Linked DNA regions of Lytechinus pictus. The protein of the gene in region 2 purifies or fractionates together with the protein of the main gene of each other region. This does not show direct contact. Links are inferred from orthologs where the notes say so. Each region holds a gene or a part of one and is shown on either strand. Other genes may lie near its edges.

Region 1 (8,062 bases), on a different chromosome or scaffold from region 2:
TTTTCCATTTTCTGACTACATCAGATAATTAGCAAAACCTACTAGAACAAAAATTAGGAAGACAAACCAGAATAGTTTCAATTTCATGTTGATTGTTTTAGATTTGATCTTTATCTAGTCTCATTTCCACTTGATAACAAGTACACGCATTAGGCCTATATCTCAGATTGCAAGTACAGTATTCATGTTAGCATCAGATATGGAATTCAAGAAAATGAAATATCATCAATAAAACTAGAAAATCATATTATTATCCTGTTAGCACTCTTATTAAAATTACCAAGTCAATCTCATTCTTTCCACTGTCTCATCTTCAGGCGCCTTACATGTACTGCAATTCAGTTTGAAGAAAATGTCCCCTTCTAGAGTTGTAGGATTGCCAGTTTTGAAGCAAGCTATGAAAAACAATAACACACATGACAGAAATAAATCTCAGTATTATGTATTATGCTCTTCAAAAGGCCAGACACAAAATTGTGTTCCTTTCCATAATAAAATAAAATTGAAGATGTTGTTCAGTATGTCTGTGTCATGAAAATACAAATAATCAAACAATTAGAATTTAAAACTTCCTCATTGACCTACCTAAATGAAAAGACTTCTTGCATTTTTCACAGGAGATCATCGGACCATCCCCTTTGCCTTCACAGTAACACTGATCCCCCAAGGACTCGTCCTCTGTTACATCTACATTTTCCCTCATTTCTTCCTCCTCGTGGATGATGGTCACATTAGAGGACTCTTCTTCTTCATCTTCTGCATCATGGTCATCCACTGTCTCCATGATAATGTCTTCATCCTGTGACTTAGCTTCCTCCCTATTAACTCCTGGGGATTTCGTATCCATGGAAACCACATCAATTTCATCATTTTCCCCCTGCACAAGGATGATAGAAAATATGTTTATTCACTTCAATTTTGAAATCTTTATAAAGTAGAAATATATTGCCAATCCCCAAAATGGAGAATTATATATCAAATCAAAGCAGAAAATCAAAGAACATAGTGGTGTCCCTCATTTATCATGGAGACAGATGAAATTCAGTTAATTGATAGTTTTAAAGTTCCCTCTCTGAGTGCTTCGAACACGTAAATAACGGCCTCAAAATTGGTGATTTTTAATGACGTGTATGCTGGTGCGAAACACGATTGGTTATCCCACATCAAGCTCCACTTGCATCCAAAACCTGTAGGGAGGGTATGTTTTCTCCACAAAGTTACTGAAAACATCGATCACGAAATGGAAGAAACCCAGAAGTTCATCTAGATTTAAATTTCAAAATTTATGATTTTGAAGAAGAGATTGATGATGAAGAATATAGTTAACTTTTATATGACGAATTTTACTAGAAACAAAATGCCCTTCGATCATTTTTAGTTAAAACCGTTGGGGGGGGGGGCTGGCCAAATAAAATTTCACGCAGGACAAAATGACCTTCCTTTTTTTTAATAACCTTTGGGGGGGGGGGTTGCCAAATATTACGCAGACAAAATGGCTTTCATTTTGAGTGACAATCTTTTTTTTTACTTGTCAAATTTTAAGCGAGACAAAATGACCATTGCGACAATCATCCCGAATGTTATGTCAAAATCTATCAAAAAATTTATATTTGTAATGACAAAATTTTTGCTCGCTCGCCTCTTCATCTGGCAGGCGCGTACTAGCCAGGGGGTGGTGCCCCCCCCCCCAAAAAAAAAAGTAGGGGGGCGAAAAGAGAAAAAGGAAAATGAAAAAAGGGAGGGTGTAGAACTGATTTGTTTTTCCTTCTTGGTTTTTTTTGTCAAAAGAATAAAAACCTTAACGAAATGTTCTTCTATAATTAGGTCTACACTCACAATTTGATTAACAATAGCAGCCATCTATGAGGTTTAAAATGGCTAAATATCCAGAGGTATCGAGACCCACCTGCTGATATAGCAGTTTAGCACTGGGGTACAGGATGGAAGGGTTAGGCCCAGTGGCCCCCGAATGTTCTACAACCAAGATAGAAAAAGAAGGGAATTAAAGAAAAAAAATTCATAATCACGTAATAAATTTTAGTATTTGTTAAATAATAATTTTTATCTATAAATTGTTCTTCAAAACAGCATTTTGGAACATCGCTAATCGAAGGTATGGCATAACGAAGCGGTTCAAGGGTCAGACCTATTGTATTTGCTTTGTTGGCAAATGGATTGAGGGATCTACACGAGATCATTCTGGTAAGAAACCTCTCATTTTTGCCATTCATAGTGAAATAATTTTTATACCTTCATAAAAAATCTAAATTTTAGGCGTTTGAAGGTTTCAATAAAATTCACTTATTAATTATAAACCGATTTCACCCTGTATAGTGTATTATATTAAAATATAGCATTATTTATAGGCTAAAATATAGGGCAGTAGGGAAATCTATCCAGGTCTCACTTATGCATATATGCATATATGGGAGACGGTTCAGGGCTCCATGAATGATGAAGAAGTTTAGATCTATGTCAAAATATTAAAAAATATCATCATGGAGTCCTCAGGCTCAACTTAAGACTAAGAGTCAATGCCAAGTCCAGTCCCACATATTGCAATTCATGTTCCTGTTGGCTGTTGCTTGGTGTTGAAAATTATAAGCATGATAAAATACGATCAGACTAGTCTACATTCATTTAAATTTTGATTTCCTGACCCGTAGCCCCCACTCCTAACAACTTCATGAATATCATTACTACCTGATCAGCTTCACTTGAAGTTACACCTGACATCGCTTGTTCAAATTTTATTTCAGGTCGATCGGTCAGCTGTCAGATCAGTGGTAACTACTGTACTGTACTGGTGGCAGATTGGACCGCTGCGCTGCCCGCCCGCGCCGCCGCGGTATGCGCTGCCGCCGTTCGGCCAGCTGTAAAGTTAGATCCTAATTAGTAATTCCTATATAAGAAAAAAAAATCCCAAATAAAATTGGAAGTTTAATACAAGTAAGATTTAGAAAAATGTTGGCTAGTATAGATTTTCATCAATATTATTATTGTTAGTGGTTGGACCCCGTGTTGGACATGTCAGACAGCAAGACCTAAATTTTAACAAAAGACTCTTGAATGCATATCTGCATGCAGGGGTGTATGGGGGGAGGGGGGGGGGGGGAGGCGCCCCAAAATAAAAAAAAGGAAAAGAGAAGAAAAGGGGAAAAGGGTAGCTTTGTGGGTTTCCGGTTTATATTTTTCTGAGAAGAATCAAAACCAAAACGAGACGTCGTCTCTCTCTTTCATATGTAAATTTTCTTCCCTTTTAGCGGGCCGGGCCGGGGAAATCGCGTCCGATGCCCTTGCGCTAACCCGGTAGTCTCCCCCCCCCCCCCCCCGATTTCCCTGCCTCTACTATTAGAGTATAGTGTGTATTTATTGCCAGCAAGTATATAAAAGGGCTTAAATAAAATAAAAAAAAGGAAAAGAGAAGAAAAGGGGAAAAGGGTAGCTTTGTGGGTTTCCGGTTTATATTTTTCTGAGAAGAATCAAAACCAAAACGAGACGTCGTCTCTCTCTTTCATATGTAAATTTTCTTCCCTTTTAGCGGGCCGGGCCGGGGAAATCGCGTCCGATGCCCTTGCGCTAACCCGGTAGTCTCCCCCCCCCCCCCCGATTTCCCTGCCTCTACTATTAGAGTATAGTGTGTATTTATTGCCAGCAAGTATATAAAAGGGCTTATGCGTCGGGCATGAACTTAGATAGGCCGAAGCACTAGCGTACCTACGGGGGGGGGGGCAGGGGGGGCACTCTGCCCCCCCTGACGAGTCACAACCCATGCAAAAACGTATCTTTGCCCCCCCTGACGGGCTTGAAAAACCTTTTTTGCCCCCCCCCCCCGGCGAGCTTTAAGACCTTCAATGCCCCCCTGACGAGCTTGAAGACCTTTTTTTTTTTTTTTTTTTTTTTTGCTTGTCAATTTTTTTCTGGTACGAAATCCTTAATTTGTGATCGAAAAGACCTTTTTTTTTTTTTTTTTTTTTTTTTTTTTTTTTGCTTGTCAAATTTTTTGGTGGACGGTTTTGCCCCCCCCCCTGTGAAAAATCCTAGGTACGCCACTGGGCCGAAGTATAATAGGCTCTCTCTCAACTCAAATTGATGACACGCAATATTGCTGCATTTCTGATAGTAGCGGATAGCTATTTTGCGTTGTTATACAGTGCGTATCAAAAAAAGTTTACACTTCGAAAAAATCCTGTAAAATTACACATTTGTAATATCCTGAAGATTTTTCCACATTTTAACATTGGTACAGATCCATTTAACCCCATTTAAGCAAATGATGATATAACTGTCGAAAAATATTTCCGCTTGAGTGAGCACCACTTACTTTTGAAAAGTTAGTGAAAAATGATTTGCGCAGAACTTTGAAATAGGTATATATGCGAATAAAAGTTGACCTTAATCATGAAGAACACGTGGAATTTAGCTAGTAAAATTGATTTGAAGATATCTTTTACCTTTTTTAACTTGTTTCCTTGCCCAAACCACTTCGAGGAGTGCATTGCACCCCACCCCACTCCCCCACACACCGAGGCCATCGTGACGAATTTGCTTTACACTGAGCTGTGATTTACATAAAATGGCTTAGGCTTGATTTTCATTTTGTTAATCATTGTCAAGCTTGGGAAAAGTGTGGACAAACAAGTATTAAATGAAAAATGAAATGTAAACCCACTTTAAATGATAAAAACTGTCTGATATAAACTTTTGTTCAGATTCAGTTATGTCCTCAGCAGTGGCGTAGCTAGGATTTTTTTCCTGGGGGGGGCACTGGGGGGTCCTTGCTTTTTCAGGGGGGGCACCATTTTTTCCGTTGTGTGTGTATGTGTCACAAGGGCGGATCCGACTTTCGCCAATAGGGGACGGGGCCCGAAATTATCTTCACCTATATTTCCCCCGATCAGTCACTTCTTAGATTTATTCTTATAGAACAACATAAACATGAAATAATCTCATAAGCCTTATAAAAAGTGCGAGCGCGAAGCGCGAGCGATTTTTTTTTTTTTACTTTCATGTATTTTGTCCTGAAAATGTAATATTCTGTGCAATGTTATGTGTGATCCTGAACAAGATTCGTATGTAACTAGATGGTTACTGCGAAGGCCAAGCGCGAGCAGAACTTTTTATTAACTGTTCTAGCATTATCGAAAAGGGACCTGTTAAGGACTGCTTACAGTTACCCACGAAGACGGTATATATTTCAATAATGCGAGCGCGAAGCGCGAGCAAATATTTTTTGACATTCCGACCTAAAAAATTGTCATTCTAAGCACTTTTTGTATTAATAAATGGGATAGGTATGTAACTAAACAATTGATGCGAGCGCGAAGCGCGAGAGGAAGAAAATTGAGATTTTAGACCTAAAAGCGGCTATTCATATTTTGTAAATCATAAATAGGATATAGTTAATTGGGTATCATTAATAATGCGACCGTGAAGCGTGAGCAGACAATTATTGATATTCTGATGTGAAACTGGATAATTTAAGTACATTTAATATAAAGAACATGCAGGCTATCGCGCATGTTTTCGATTTAGACCTAGAATCTGGGCAGTCTGAATACATTTGTTTAATGGAACATTATGAAATACACGTAGACAATAGGAACTTGGCAAATCAAACAATTTGACCACGCAGCGTGAGCTTAAAAATGCTGATATGTAGACTATAAAAGGGACGTTTTACAGCTAGAACACTTAAATTTGTTAATGAAAAAAAATTGATGAGAGCTCGATGTCCGAGCTAAAATATATTTTGTATTTTGACTTCAAAACTTGCTCCATATCAGCCTATTGAGCAAGATATGAATTTCATCGAACAGGCAATTCTGGCGCAAAAAAGCGCAAGCAAAAGTTTTATATAGTAACATGAAAGATTTGTTTTTTTTTTGCAAGTCTTCCCTTCACATTATTTCATTCACTCGTCTTCCTCCTCTTATTTTCCTCTTCTTTTTTTTCTTCTGTCTTTCTTCTTCTTTTCCTGTTTTTTCTTCTTTCTCCTTTTTTTTTTGCTCTGCCAATTTTTTTCAGGGGGGGGGCACTTGGGGGGGCACACCAAATCTCAGGGGGGGGGGCACGTGCCCCCCCAGGCCCCCCCGTAGCTACGCCACTGGTCCTCAGATCCATGCAGCTGGCACAAAAAAGGTAAAGGTTGTGTTGAAATTTCAATTTGGGTGGCAAAATTATTAGAAAATGCTGAAATGTATCCGTTTTATTTCAATTTACTAAAAGTGCAAGGGAAATGTATGAGAAATGTTTCGCAGGGTAAGTTTGATTTCGCCCTTTCCCCTCGACACAGCGTACAAACGAGCATTTCTGCGCAAACAGATTTCTGCGAGCTTTACAAAAATGGACAGTGCTCACTCAAGTGTAACATTCTGTCAAAACTTTTACTTTCATTGGATAGAAGAGACCCAAACCAAAGATTATATGTGAAAAAATTACCCACATGTTGTATATTTTTTAATTCCCAGGGCTTTTTCAAAGTGTAAACTTTTTTTTGATACGCACTGTATATCTCTATAATCCCAGCTAACACAACGTTATAATAACATTTTTGAAAGATCTTAGAAATGCTTTCAAAAAACATTTCTTGAGAACATTTGCATAGCATTAATGAAACAAATTATTCCCCTTATGTTAAACATTATTTCATTAAACGTTATTAATTATTCCCCTTATGTTAAACATTATTTCATTAAACGTTATAACCATTTTAGCAATAACATAAACGTTCTTGTAAGGTTATGAAAACTATGTTAATTCTATATTTTAACTAAACGTTTTTGAAAAATGTTTTCTTAATATTTTTTAATGTTATTATGTTATGATTTTTACATTTTTTTCCAAAAACTTAACAATACATTTTACTATAACCATTTTGAAGAAAAATGAAAATTAAGTATTGTGAGAATATTCTGACAATAACATCAACCTGAATAGAAACGTAATGAAAATATGTTTTTATAACAGTTCAGCAAAACATTTTTGAAAAAAATGCCAAAAATATTTCAAAATGTATCCTTATTTTAGAGTCTTTAGAATACAACTGTTTTTAAACTTTACTATCATGTTTATAAAGTTAAACATGGGCTCTAAAAATATTTTTAAAGGTTGTTATAATATTACAGCAATAACATAAAACGTTCTTGAAATGTTATGAAACACTAAAAAAGAAGGATAAATATTCTTTAATATATACGCTTTTATGATATAACATTATTTCAGAAAAAATACATTTTACTAACATCATTCTTATAATGTTATACATAATGTTTTAAAATATCATTTAAACATTTTTCTAGAAACAACTATTTTCTAATATCTTTAAAACGCTATGCATTGGGTGTCACAATAACATCGAAAAATTATGAAAATATGTTATTGAAAAAATAGCTAAACATTTTTGAAATGTTTTCACAAAGTGTTAATGAAATGTACAACAAACGTCCTTATTTTGACGTTTTTATGACATATCATACCCCCACATATTTTCAGAAACAAAATGTTTTACTAAAATTACGATAAATACACTGGAGATGAAAAATACCAAGTTAAAACATTGGTAAAACGTAATGATGATAGCATTAAAGGTTGTAGAAGTTATGAAAATATATTTTCAAAATATTTAAGCTAAATAATCTTGAAAAGGGGGGGTTGTTTTCCCAAAACGTTAATAAAAATTGATTCTAAACACATTCTTTAAACAGTGGCGTAACAGGCGGGGGGGGGGGGGCAAGCTGCCCCCCTGGCGGATTTCACCGGGAAAATAAAAAAAAACGGGGAAAACATAAAAGGGAGGTAGAAAGAAAGAGAAAGGGGAAGGAAAGAGGGAAAGGAAAGGAGGAAAAGGAATGGGAAAAGTGAAAATAATTTAAAACAAAGAAAATATATATCTTTTGAAATGGAAAAGGAAAGAAAGCGGGAAGAAGAACGAAAGAAGAACATTTGAGAAAGAACAAATCATTCCGAAATAGGACTATGTAGTGCAATAGCATGATGGGAAATAAATTAAAAGATGACAAAATGGCAAACAATAGCGGGAAATGAAGGTAGAATGGAATTA
Region 2 (7,034 bases):
TCTGTATCTATCTATATGTCTATCTATCTATCTGTCTGTCTCTCTATCTATCTATATTTCTGTCTCTCTGTCTATCTATATGTCTGTCTCTCTATCTATATATATGTCCGTCTCTCTATCTATCTATGTCTGTCTCTATATCTCTCTATATGTCTGTCTCTCTATCTATATATATGTCTGTCTCTATCTATCTATCTATCTGTCTGTCTGTCTCTCTTTCTATCTATATGTCTATCTATGTTTTATTAGTATAACCACCTATCGTCTCTCTATCTATCTATCTATATGCCTGTCTCTCTATCTATCTATATGTCTGTCTCTCTATCTATATGTCTGTCTATCTATATGTCTGTCTCTCTATCTATCTATATGTCTATGTTTTATTAATATAACCACCTATCATTTATCTCTCCATCCATCACTCCATCCATCTATATATATTATTATCTTTCTTATATGTATCTGTTTGAATATGTAAATCTGTTTGTCTATCTATTTTTCAATCTAATATCTGTTTAAATATTTTTTTTCCTGTTTATCTTTCTATACGACAGACCACCTAATTCGTCCGCATGACGAATTAAAATCTAGTTTTTCTTTTTATATATATCTTTATGAAATAAGACAAATATGTGCCCCGACATGGGAATTTTGCATTGTTAACCCCCTATTGGCTGCACATGCACGATAGCGAGCCGTCTGTGTACGAGAAATTCAAAAAATAATAATAATGTTAAAAAACTCCTCGAAACAGACGGCTGCCAGCCGTCTAATGTTTGACTAGTATTACTATTACACGGACGAGTCCTGGCCCTGGGTTAGCTAGTGCACGTACCGAGTTATGGTAGGGGTTCCTAAAGCTGCGCGGGTCCTAAAGCTACGCACCACTCCATCGCGCATGCAATTTCAATGGGAAAATAAATGCGCACTCGAGCTCTGTGTGTGAAGCTGTGACTGCAGAGTGACGAACGATCCTATTCAATTTTTTTACAGAGGCTGCAATAAATTCTTGAATGCAGAGAAAACCAGCAAATGTTTGGAATTTTTTATTTATGTTCACTTTAATTTCATATTTCCCTATAATAATACGAACATATTTTAGAAATTAAGGCACAGGAAATACTATTTCTTTGCATGATAAATCGAGTGCGTAGCTTACTTTAGGACCCCTTCTACATCGGCGACGAAATCAAGACAAGAGGTGTTCGGAAAACACGGCGGGTTTTTCGTATTAGAGCGTGATCGGTTCATCACGGACGGACATTTGATAGATTTTGAAAACTTTGAAGGCTTGTAACAAATTGGGAATAAGATGAACATGGTTCCTTTTTGTTTTATAGTGAAGGGTTACTTAGGACAAAGTATGCTGAATGATGAAAAAAGTTTGTTGCCATGGTTACCTACAAACATAGGTAGCCACTAAATGTGCCATATCACGGACGGACATGATAGAAATGTGGTTTTCAGAATTTTTGAACATTTTTATTGTTTCTATCTAAATAGCTTAACTTTGACCAATAATGGAAATGTTCACACCTACCAAAAAAAATTACTTCCCAATATTTTTTTTCTACTAATTTTTGTTTGATAATACTATAGATTAATGTTTAGAGTGCAAGAACATCCAAACCAAATTAGAATAACTTTAAAAACCATAAAACTAGAGAGAATTTGATTTGAGTAAAAATGTCCGTCCGTGATGAGAGGTAATAGCACCCCCACGAATAAAATGGACTATTCCAGTACTTTCGGATTCATCAATCTTCATGAAACCGAGTTCTTTGAAACCTGAGATATCAAAGAATATCTTAAAAGCAATTTTGATAGAAAAAAAAAAAAAACCCTTAAAGGAGAATGAAACCCTTGAAACCATCTGAATCCATATCAAAGAGAAAAATCAAAGAAACATATTGTTGAAAGTTTGAGGAAGATTGAATGAATAATAAGAAAGTTATGAGCATTTGAATATTGAGATCACTAGTGCCATGTAGATCCTCCCATCGGCAATGCGACCAAGATCTGTGATATCACACACGTACAACTCCCTCAATACTTTAGTACTTATTTCACTTATATTCTCACTTTTATAGAGTCTATCACAAGGTGAGGTGTTCTCTTTATGAGATGACAAGTACAGAGGTTTCACAACATTATATCATTGATGAATCGTTTGTCATATGATTAGAATGAGCAAAAAGAGATGTTTTGGGGTATATTTTCAGTGTCCAAATGGGAGAGTTCTACGTGTGTGACATCACAGATCTTGGTCGCATTGCCAATGAGAGGATCTCCATAGCATTAGTGATCTCGACATTCAAATGCTCATAACTCTTTTATTGCTAGTCCTATTTTACTCAAAGTTTTGTTGATCTTATTCTTTGATTTTTCTGCTTTCACAAAAGCTAACTTGCTCCAAGAGTTTCATTCTCCTTTAACTAAGGCTTAACCGATCATGCTCATTACTAAAGTCTAAATACTAATTTAGTGAGTTCTGTGATATTTTCTTCTTGGTTAAGAGAATATTAATTACAAATTAGTGAAAGACAAATGGTTAAAATATTAAAATTGGCATAGTTTTTATCGTTTGAAAACAAAGTGCGCGCGTAGCCGTAGCTTTAGTTTAGGTCCCCCCATCATACAACTTACGGTTACACTTGTTACAGTCTACAGTACAGAGCTAACGTTAGACGAGTGTGTATTTTTGTAATAAGCTACTCGAACATCTACACTACAGTCCCATTCACAGCAATCACTGTCAGTAAATTCTTTTCATCTTCCAAACAACGCACTAGTAAGCAATAAAAATTTAGTTTAAGCTCAAATCAAAGAGTTTATCATTCACACATATATAGAATGAATCATTTCTCAATGGATCAACTATCAAAGAATCGAAATCAATGTATAAAATCACAAATCTTCAAGTTCACAGGTCTTTCTTACCGATCTTAAAAATTTGCCAGTGACCTATTTTCAGAGATTCCCGCGAAGATGACGTCATGATGGTGCGTGCGTGATCTCAATGCATGGTAAATTGCCAATTCGCATACTCGCTGCCAACTCGTCCACTCACCAAATGTCATTCCGTCAATCAACATTTCGTCTAAAAACTATTTGGTCCATTAATAACCATTTGGTCCAATCATCACTTCGTCTAATAACCATTTCGTCTCATAACCAGTTGGTCTAATTAATATCCACACTTGGCACAATTAAAAAAGGACAAGTCCACCCTAACAAAAAAGTTGATTTGAATAAAAGAGAAAAATCCAACAAGCATAACACTGAAAATTTCATCAAAATCGGGTGTAAAATAAGAAAGTTATGACATTTTAAAGTTTCGCTTAATTTCACGAAATAGTTATATGCACATCCTGGCTGGTATGCAAATGAGGAGACTATGACGTCATCCACTCACTATTTCTTTTGTATTTTATTATATATATTCTAATTTTCTCCTCATTGTCAAGTGATACAACGATTGATTCCTCCCTGAACATGTAGAATTAGCATTGTTTAATGACATGGTTCAGTCAAATTGGTCCCCCTTTGGTCCTTATTGTCATATAGATAAATAATGAAATATTGTATAGGCCTAATTCAAACAATAAAAAACAAAAGTGAGTGATGGACATCAACGACTGACTCACCTAGTTGTGCATATATCACTGTTTTGTGAAAAATAAGCAAAACTTTAAAAATGTCATAAATAATTTTTTATTTTTCATCCGATTTTGATGAAATTTTCAGCGTTATGCTAGTTTGGTTTTTCTCTATTTATTCACATCAACATTTTTCTGGGGTGGACTTGACCTTTAACATTTTTTTTTAAAGTTTCCTTTAATTTCCCTTCCATGCACTTATTTTCCTTGTTCCTTTTGTCATTGTCCGTGAGAAGATGGCAGGCATGCAGGGGCATCTCGGGAGCCATATAGGGCAATTTTCGCACCCCTCGGTGGAGCTTAATTTTACTTCATTTTCTTTTTTCCCTTCTTTTTATCTTCCATATATTTGATGGAAATCATCAAGGGGGTAGGGGCTCTCTCAAATTTTATTCCCCTTTTTACCTTTTTTCCCCTTTCAACCATGTAAATACCGTTTCCATTCTTTTAATTTGCTTCTCCTTTGACCGCCTTTCCCCTTTTCTTCACCCTCTTCCTTTTCCTATAGGCTTCTTGTCTTTTCTCCACCCTCTCTTGAAATTCATTCCTTTCATTTTTTTTTTTCCATCCTCCATCTCCCTTCTTTTTCTTTTCTTCCCTTTTCCATTTCGCTTTCGATTAATTATTTTTCTTTCTTTAATGAAACTGTTGTCCTTTTCTTTATTAGCATTTTCCCTTAATACCTTCTTTAATCTCACACTTTTTCTTTATTCATTCTTTTTCATTTTCCTTCTCTTTTTAACCTCTTTCCCTTTCTCTTGCCCATATAATTATATTATTTCATTGTATTATCATTATTATTTTTTGTTTTTTGGGGGATATAATGGATCCGCGCCTGCATGCATACATGCAGCCACGTACGATCTACAAATACATTTTGAAGTCAAAAGTTTTGTATTCCATTTTTTGCTCCTTTTTGATTTTTATTGTTTAATATGCATCGGAGTCATGTTAGCCATACTAGTCCTCTTTTAGATTTTTCTTTTGGAAATAATTAAGCTTTCGAGCTTTCGTGGGTCATCCTGTGCAAGCCTGTTGTTTTATGTTCTGGTGACTTGCCAAATAAAATAAACCAATCAATCAATCAATTCATTGCATAGTTAAGTTCTAAACAATATCTGCGCCACATCTTGTACAGAGGAATACGCCATCTACGTTACCAATACCAGTTAGTCGGAGGCCGAAGACGACAGACGTAGATCGAGTTGGAAACTTTATTTTATGAAAACAAGCATTTAATTCTGCAGAATGTTTCTCATTTGAGTGAAAGGTGGGTATTTACCACATTTCATTAAATTCATGACATAGAAAATTAGTCATTTGATTTCATTCACAGTCTGTACTGATTAGCTATCGTACTCGGAGTCGATCGACTCGAGTCGACTGATCCCCGATCATTTACTATTTAGCTGAAGCGAAGCCAGGCAACCGTACGCACGGCCGGCGACCCGGGCCCTGGTCGATCGGCGACTCTGGCACTGCATGTTCATTGCTAACCCAGAGAGCTCCCGCCCGCTGCGCGGGCGGGAGCCCAGAAGCTTACCGTGTATTTTACCATTGTCACCGGACTAGGGTGATTTATGGTCTAAATATTTCTCCAAATGAATTGTGAAAACAGAAAGTATAGAATTACCACGATTATATGGATGAAGGTCTAACGAGTGGCAGATTCCTGACATCTGGGCACAGTCTGGAACCTCAAAAAAACGAAAAGTTCTCTCCTTCTACCCCGTCTCGATCGGCCATTTTTGTTAAAAATTGTAACAAAATGGCCGATCGAGACTGGGTAGAAGGAGAGAACTTTTCGTTTTTTTGAGGTTCCAGACTGTGCCCAGATGTCAGGAATCTGCCACTCGTTAGACCTTCATCCATATATACTTTCCGTTTTCACAATTCATTTGGAGAAATATTTAGACCATAAATAACCCTAGTCCGGTGACAATGGTAAAATACACGGTAAGCTTCTGGGCTCCCGCCCGCTGCGCGGGCGGGAGCTCTCTGGGTTAGTTCATTGCAAGTGCAACCACTGGCACTAGCACTTCCACTGCACTGCAGTTCCACTGCCTGTCACAAGTGTGTCTTGTCTTGATTTGTTTCATTTGTCAGTGTTTGAGTGTGACTAACGTGATGTAATGATGGCTGAAAATAATGCAGGGAATATTTCTGGCATTCTGTGCCGTGCCTTCTGCCTAGACAAGATAGCTGGCAGCCGTCTGTTTCGAGTTTTTTTTAATTTAAAGTAGGCCTACCGCCTAGGCCTAAACATTTTTTTAAATTTTTTATTTCTCTTTGTATGTACACTGTGATGGCTCGCGATCGTGCAGCTGCCATTAGGGAGCTAACAGTGCAAAGTCCCCCCGATGGGGCTCATCGATTTCTGTCTTTATTTCATGAAAATATATAAAAAGAACTGGACCAAAATAAAGATTATTATTCCGTTTTGGCCTGAAATGCACCAAAACAGGGAAAAATAAACTTAAAAGGAAAAAAAAACCAGTGACTTACCTTACCTTACCTTACCGCAAATACTGGAAGAATGCTGAATTAGCAGTCGAGCTTCCAGGTCTATCTTCTAATTTTGTCAGCTTCCTTCATGCTTCAATAAGTTTCAATAAGTTTAAGGAGGCAGTGGGGCAAGTTGGTGAAAATTGACTTCTCATATCCAGTTAAGAGTAGTGGGAATCATAATGCTTATCTTTCCAGTGTCGGTCTAGCCTGATTTTGAAGGTGTCTACTGTGGGAGCTTCAACTACCTCAGCTGGGAGAGAGTTCCAATCATTGACTACTCGGTGACTAAAAGCTTGCTTTCTCACATTTGTTCTGCATCTTGGCTTTACAAGTTTGAACCTATGACCTCTTGTAGTACTGTCAGCTAGCTGAAAAAAGTGGTCTGGGTTAAGCCTGTCGACTTCATGAGTGATCTTATACACTTGAATCATGTCACCTCTCTTTCTTCTGTACTCCAAGGATGGTAAGTTCAGGTGTTTAAGCCTTTCCTTGTATGGAAGATGTTTGATCCTGGAGATTACTTTGGTTGCTCTCTTCTGAACTCTCTCGACAGCCTTAGCATCAGCAATGTACTGTGGTGACCAGATGACATTTCCATATTCCAGGAGTGGCCGCACTAACCCTTTAAATAGTTTGGGGATAGTGGTCGAATCAAGACACTGGAAAGTACGTCTGATGCTGATTAGTACCCCGTTTGCCTTATTGACAGCATTTGACACTTGCTTGTGGAATTTTAGATCGTCGTCAATGATGATCCCTAAATCCTTTTCTTCTCTAACTGCATTCAGTGCTGTACTCCCGATGTTGTAGTGCTCTCTTTGGTCACCTGATCCAAGATGCAAAACACTGCACTTGTCAGTGTTGAAT

What was found.
Region 1: the proteins of DNA polymerase epsilon subunit 3-like (region 2) and cysteine-rich protein 2-binding protein-like purify together in Drosophila melanogaster (affinity purification with mass spectrometry; 4 studies listed by BioGRID). This does not show direct contact. The link is inferred for Lytechinus pictus from reciprocal best matches to the Drosophila melanogaster genes Chrac-14 and Atac2.

What each region holds. Positions count from the first base shown.
Region 1 is NC_087247.1:43,280,807-43,288,868, reverse strand, and holds the start of cysteine-rich protein 2-binding protein-like, read right to left. Parts: upstream 3,097-8,062; 5' UTR 2,737-3,096; coding exon 2,704-2,736; intron 878-2,703; coding exon 586-877; intron 396-585; coding exon 281-395; intron 1-280.
Region 2 is NC_087259.1:11,821,688-11,828,721, reverse strand, and holds the start of DNA polymerase epsilon subunit 3-like, read right to left. Parts: upstream 3,018-7,034; 5' UTR 2,941-3,017; intron 1-2,940. UniProt on the Drosophila melanogaster protein: Accessory component of the DNA polymerase epsilon complex. Participates in DNA repair and in chromosomal DNA replication. Histone-like protein which promotes nucleosome sliding of ATP-dependent nucleosome remodeling complexes.